Linked DNA regions of Drosophila melanogaster. The gene in region 2 interacts genetically with the main gene of each other region. Each region holds a gene or a part of one and is shown on either strand. Other genes may lie near its edges.

What was found. A genetic interaction does not mean that the proteins touch.
Region 1: of Chchd2 (region 2) and Thor, changing one suppresses a phenotype caused by changing the other (phenotypic suppression), as found in Drosophila melanogaster (one study listed by BioGRID).

What each region holds. Positions count from the first base shown.
Region 1 is NT_033779.5:3,476,537-3,480,150, reverse strand, and holds Thor (thor), read right to left. Parts: upstream 1,718-3,614; 5' UTR 1,536-1,717; coding exon 1,391-1,535; intron 967-1,390; coding exon 758-966; 3' UTR 539-757; downstream 1-538. UniProt on the Drosophila melanogaster protein: Repressor of translation initiation that regulates eIF4E1 activity by preventing its assembly into the eIF4F complex. Hypophosphorylated form competes with eIF4G1 and strongly binds to eIF4E1, leading to repress translation.
Region 2 is NC_004354.4:17,147,459-17,151,169, reverse strand, and holds Chchd2 (Coiled-coil-helix-coiled-coil-helix domain containing 2), read right to left. Parts: upstream 2,170-3,711; 5' UTR 2,034-2,169; coding exon 1,987-2,033; exon of another isoform or gene 1,694-1,986; intron 1,337-1,693; coding exon 871-1,336; 3' UTR 523-870; downstream 1-522.

The DNA.
Region 1 (3,614 bases), on a different chromosome or scaffold from region 2:
ACAAGGGATCGGTCTATCTGAACGAACATGTGCTCAGCACACTACTTTTGTATATATAAGAAAAATGGTAAAGGGCGGGGCGGGGGCCAAAGGCGAGGTCGTTTCCCAACTGCGCAGTTTCTTAAAGATCTATTTTTTTGTGGCGTTTGTTTGCCGGTTTTTGGATACATTATAAATATGTATGCATATCTTTGCAATAAGTGGGACACGCGCTGCTGGGGCCACTGACTGACTGGCTAACTAAAAAGCCGGCCGGTATTTCCAGCTGTCTAACATGTGTACCGCCCCCCAAAAAGCCCCCTTTCGCTAAATTTCTTCGTAAACAGTTCAAACAGTTCAACAAACTGCCGAAAATACTACTAAACCGAAACTGACTCAAGGTGAAGTGGAAAGTGTTCTATCACATAACGCGTGGCCTGCCAAGGTTGAATTGCCGATAAAGAAAGTAATTTGGCACTGAATTTCTCAAACATAAATTAAAATTTATAATTGTAAATTGGCAGCTACTGAATCCCAATGGAAGGTGTGGTTCTCTTTTAAATAATGTGTGCCTTTTTTTTATTGCATTTTACTTAAGATCTACGATTTTACAAGGTAACGGGGTCAATATGACCGAGAGAACAAACAAGGTGGAAGAACTAAGAACTTAGCATCTAGTTAATGGGTACACTAAGCTTATAAGATCGGTTTTAGTGGGTGCATCTAAGAACTAGTTGGATTTGGCAGTTGCTGCATGGCGGTGTACACGCCACACCCCCTACAGATCCAGTTGGAACTGTTCCTGGTCCTCAATCTTCAGCGACTTGGTCTGCTTGATCAGTTCCGTGGGGACGGGCACGCACTTGCGGAAGGGAGTACGCGGAGTTCCCCTCAGCAAGCAACTGGGCACGTTGGACGGCGGAGTTTGGCTCAATGGGGAGCCACGGAGATTCTTCATGAAAGCCCGCTCGTAGATAAGTTTGGTGCCTGGAATTATAGGAAAGCGGAAATTTTTATTAGTCAAGGTGGTCTGCGTTGCATCAGAAAGGTATTCAAAGTTCCCCACTGATAAGCCAGCTGAGTAAACGCTTCTTTGCCGCGCTACTCTGAGTCACGAACTGTGGAACATGTGCTCGGGATTATCTTCCAACTGACTGACTCGGCGAGATGGCCCAGTTTCATCAGCCAAAAAATGGTGAGTGAGTTTTACAAAAATAATGTATCACAACTCAAACAAAAGCTTGTTTGTTGTTTGAGCAAAGGAAAGAAACGGTATACTTGTTTATGTTTTCGAAATATGTTGATTAATTTCATCTTGATATCATATCTAATGATAAGAAAATCACTCCACTTTCCGGAAGGAACTTAATAATACTCGATGTAGTCTCAGCTTCCAATTTTCGAAACTTACCTCCAGGAGTGGTGGAGTAGAGGGTTCCGCCGGGCGTCGAGGAGTACACCTCGGGCATCTGGATCGGATCCGAGATGACAACCTTCCTGGTGATCATGGGCAGGGCCTGGGTGATGGCTTGACGGGCGGTGGGTGAAGCGGACATCTTAGCTGATTGATTGGATTGGTTTCGAAAACTTTCCGCTGGACGTGTAAGCACACTCGATATGGCTGCGACAATTTGATTGTTTACACAAACTGCGTTGTTTGTATTTCGTTGCTTGTATCAGCTATAGAGCTTGTGTGGCTGCTATGTGTTCACCGTTGGCTGTTCGCTAGGCGATTGCTGGCGGTATTACGAAGTGTGGCTCTATTTATACCCCCCCATTCTTACTCTCTCTCGCTCTCTTCTCGCTCTTTCGCCTGCTCTCTCGCCTGATTATTCTGCTTGGTCGGCTGATGTTTTTTGTTTTTATCTGGTGTATTTTCTGCGTAGTTTATGACAAACCGGCTGGTTCTTGTTGTTATTGCCGTATTCTAATATATTCCCCTATTGTTCTTATTTTTGTTGCAGCCTGCACACCTCGGAGGTTCTAGATGATAAGGGGTGTAGCGATGGTGGGGGGCTGTCTTGAGGGGCTTCTCGCCTTGAGCTCTTGTTTATCTTTGGTCATTTGTTATTGTTTAATGCACGGCAATATTATTGGTAAACAAGTTAGCCAACAGCACTAAACGCCAATCGCATTCTTTTCTAAAAACCAAGTCTATTGTCGATCTTGCTAGGGAAATGATGATGACTCAGGTGCAATTGGGATCTTATCTATGGCTGTCTGGGAGTCAAGAGGTGTTCCGCAGAATTTCGTGAAGTACTGCCGCTCTCTCCATGGGGCCATTATTTTGCACTCGTTTTCGCGAAATACCATTAATTAGCATAAAGACACGTCGCCGGCAATCGTGACGTAGGCTATGAGTGCCTTCTATGCATGTGCGAACTCGCGGAGCATAGCAATTTGAGCAACGATATTGCAGGTTTTTATGGGCTAAAAGATACCCAGCATTTCACTTTTTTTCAGGCGGAAAGTGTTCATTATTATCTGGCACGAGCCGTTTTGAAATAATTATCACGAAAAGATACACGTCTTACATAACTTACTTGCTTTATTTACTTAGATATGCAATTTTAGCGTGATTTCTATATTTAGGAGTGCACAATCCAAAAGTACGCTTAGCTCATATCAAAATTTAACTTGACTGATATGAAACATACATATTTAATATCTTTTCTTTGGCACATTGACTTCTTAGCCGTTTAATATTAGCGCACATATCTAAAGAAATACATATATCATATCACCAAATTTGGTGATCGAACCCTTATTAGTTCCCAAGTTCTTTGAGGTGGAATATCTTGTTTGGAATCAAACTAATATGCCCCACTGATCGCAGCAAGCATAGGGTGGATCCAAGCAGCGGCACGAGCGGTTTTAGCTATGCGGGGGCGATGTTGACGATATTTAATCGTTGGACGCATGTAAATAGTGCTACAGGAACTTTTGCCTACGTTGGCGCCCACGATTCGACGTAATTCGGATATTGGCCACGGGCCATTCCGAGGGATATGGGGTTGACAAAAGGTGGCCACGTGTGTTGATCTGCGGCGATCATGATCTCGATGTGGGACAGGGGATGGCGCCCACCTAGAAATCTGCACAAGGTCGATACTTAAGCGTGCTAATATTTATGATGGCTAAATGGGGAAGCTTGACAGACCTTGAAAGTAGATTTCCATGTGACGAGGAGCATATTTGAATTGGGGAAAGCATGACCCAAATCCATCAATTACACTAGATGGGGGTGGGAGTTAGCTGGGTGCCAACTGACCCCCAAAGTAGTAAACGGTAAACAAGGGAGCCAGAACACGAAAAACACGGACAATTTTGCCGTGTCATCTAGCACGTAGTCCACAGCATAGAAACCGCCCTACGTGCCGGCTGATATGTTTATATATTTTATTTTTTGGGTGAGAGAGCGGCTCTTCTCCGCATTTTCCACCTCCATTAGGGCTTATCAACCCTCGAAGAAACCAGTTCGGATTTTGCTTTCGTTTTCATCAGATACAATATGATGTACCTGCGCAAAGAGAGAGAGACAGGCCTATAGCCGCGAGGAAAGAGACGGCAGGCAGTTTTCCTACTGCGTTGCAGCCAAGTTAAAATGCGTCTTGAGATATTCCTAGCCGGTTCTC
Region 2 (3,711 bases):
TCTTAACTTTTCAAAATTACGTTTCCACGGCAAATATTTCATAAGACCATTAATAAGATCTATGACTAATCGCTCGTTTAACCATGAATATGTACATCTGTATGTGTATAGCATATAATAGAATATATATGCTATATAACCCTTCATTTATAACTAAACAGCAAGTAGGTAAACATGTTTATCATATTTCCCATTTGTTTACCACCTAATTTCAACAAAACAAAGCGCATTGCAATCAAAACACAAGAAAAGCTGAAATGAAAGACACGTGACAATGAAAAAGGCGAAAAGGGGTTCCCATACAAATGTATAGGGAAATGAATCGATTTTCCTATTTATAGAAGTGCAATGTCACCAAAATTATTTTTGGCAACCGCATGCAGCCACATTTCACAATAGAATGCAAATTTTGCATTTTCCAGAAGGAGGAAAAGGGAAAGTTGCATTTTTTCTAGAAGCTTCTTGAAAAATGAATATTTCAAAGATTTTCTTGGCTCCTTGTTTAGACAACAATTATAACTTGATATTAACTTATGCATATATTTATATTTTAAACAATAAAAACTCTTGGAAACTTCGTTTTGTTTTGGCCCACATTGACAACCCGTGGGGTTTGGTTTCTTTTTTGTTTTGTTTGTTTGTGTTTTTTTTTGGAAAGGGTTTTGGGCTGCCAACGGGATTTTCTATTTAACATTTCATTTTGCACTACAATTAAACAATGCTTTCTTTCAGATGCTTGCAATTAAACAATTAAGAACTAAACGAAGGGATAGGACAGAGTTCATCCGGAGGTGTTCATCCGATGGGTTCATCCGGCTGCGTTCATCCGCCGGTGCTTGGCCAGATGATATTCTACCGGAGCTGGGCCCTCTACTGGAGATGGTGGCTCTGCTTGCACTGCCGCAGCGCCTCGTTGAATCCCTCGCAGAGGGTAAGATCCGCCTGACCCTGGGCGCACTGGATGAACTGTTTGAGCTCCCAGGCGCAGGCTCCCTGCGGCTCATTGGGCTGCTGCTGCTGGGCGTAGTATGGCTGCTGGGGGGCAGGAGCGGCTGCCGCCGGAGCGGGAGCAGCGGCCTCCTTGTCGCCAGATCCGCTGAACAGCGAGGTCAATCCATGACCCACGGTGTGTCCAATGGCTGAGCCCACGGCCACGCCTCCAGCGGTGGCGGCCATCTGCTGGAACATCGATGGCTGCTGCGGTGCCGGCATGCCGACGGCACTGGGAGGAGCGCTCATGGGCGCCGGAACAGGGGCAGAGGCGGCCGGTGCTGGGGCACGTGTCTGGACAGGAGCCGGGGCCGGGGCGGGGGCACGGGCCTGCACAGGTGCGGTGCTGTTGGGAAAACAGAAGCAATCAGTTGTTATTGTGGACTTTGCTCTGGAGTGTCGTTGATCATTCCGTGACGAAATTGAAGGGTCTTTGTGTTGAAAACAATGAACTATACAAATTTAACTAATTCCTAGGATTTTTAAAGGACTTTATTTTATATCTACTGCAAAAGTAGGTAATATTTTTATATTCCTATGCAAATTCTTGTTTTCTTTATAATAAGCCAAATTGTATAAACATTTGAATATTTTACTTTTTTAACGCAAAATAAAAACATGTGATGTTTTTAATTTAATAAATCAATGGCCTGGGATATATATATATATTTACATAGAACAATAAATTTAGTAAATTTCTTACAAAAATGGATTTTATGAGCACTTTCGTAATTGAATAAGTAGCCAGATTTAGCGGGTCTTCCGCTAGGAGGACAGCACCAATAAAACATCCCATGTTATTGGGAATCCTCTTATTTTTAAGGTTACGTAACCTTAACCCATTTCGGGGGCCGGAAAAAGCGGCGGAAGTGAAATTCTGTCCATGAGATAAAGCCAGATCATCCGATTGATTGGTCGGTGATTACGAAATGAATTTCCTGCCGGCGCTTTATCCAATTTCCCCCGAATTTTCTTTGTTTTTCGCGACTGTCTTACCGACGAGTGGAGGGCGGGGGACTGGCTGAACGTCCACGGCGAACCATTTTGTTTGTTTTATTTGTTTTTCTATTGATTCGGTTTCACGCAAGAATTTTATTCTCAACAGTTGTTGCTGTTTTGATGACGAGCTAGTAACTGAAATTCCGAAATAATCCCAATTGGACGAGAAACTTCGGCCTGCTGCCAGTGTGGCCGGAGAAAATACCGAAAAATACTAAGGCATAAGGTGTAAACTATCGGATATAGAATGTGCCAGAAAAGTTAATAATATGGGTAAATTCTTATGATTAAAAATATATTTTACTAAAGTATTTGGATATTGTATTCGTGTAAAAACGTTTTACCACCCTTAAATTTACTATGTAATATAGTAAAATTTTTGTGTATTTTATATATCCCATATATATAATCTTTACATACCACATATTTTTTTCCACTTACAAAATCAAATAAAGAACTATATGTTATAAATATATATGCATTACGATTTAAATAACTTTTTATTTTACAGTCAGTGAAATAATAACATTTAATACTCAAGCATATCAAAATTTCTATAAGGTGACCGTAATAAAGAAAATTTGGCATGCGAATTTCAACTATCGCCACCCGTTGTGACTGGCAAAACCGCGAAATGCCGCATATCGATAGAAAGTTCGAAATTTGTCATTAAAAAAGTGGCTTAAAACTAATAGTATGCCTGAAAGCAGGGTATATTTCTATGAAGTACATATAAATGTGCAACTCAAGTAGCAAACGCGTTCGAAAAAGTGATTAAGTCGAGGAATAATCCCCACTCATGGCCGCCTATCTCCGTTCGATAGTTCACTTGTTGCGCAGCCCTGGCAGCCGGAATGCAACCGTGTGCGTGTCGGCGGAAGCGGACTCTCTGGCGTTGCTGCACACTGCCGTAACATGTTCTTTTTCAGGCGTTTGCCTTTGCGCTGACATCGTATCTCGATTTCTTCTGTGACAAAGTAAGGGATTTTCAACGTTTAATTGTGTGGATTGTGGCCAGAGGATGGCCAAAAGACGGCTAAACGCTGGCAACTAGTGTGGATACTAAGGGTTTTGTGAATTTACTGCGGCAAACTGCGGAATATTGCCATTTCCACCGAAATGAGGTTAAAAACGGGCGGCTTTTTGTTTGTGTGTGTGCGCGCGAGTGCAACTGTGTGTGTGCGTCACACGTGTTTGTTTCCCCTTTTTTTTTGTATATTTTTTTTATCTGCTTGCAGCGCAAGAATATGTTTAATACAATATACATCCACGTATATTGAGCCAATTATCCAAAAGGATAACCTTCAAGAAAGTATAAACCCTTAAAAACTCGCAATTCAACAACAACAACGCGCGTGTGTTTTTTACGGTGCTTATGCGTGTGTGTGTGTGCGTATAGCGCCCATCTACAGTTTAAAAAAAACGTGTTAACGCAGGAAAACTACTTAAATATGTATTTAAAAGTTATTGTGACCCTTTTTGTATACTTAAACGTAATCTTCACTGAAACTTCCGTCTTTCATAAACCTTGGAACTTTTTTTGTAGTTTATTTTTGTTTTAAGACGTTTTTAAGATTTAAAAACGAATGTTAAGGCTCTAAAAATTATTCGTATCAGTTTATCACAGCCTTTTCTTGGGTTTTGTATTTGTAAAAGAATTTTTCAAACGAAATCTAGTTAAAGTTATAAACAATTTGTATGTGTATAAAATTTGTACAAAAG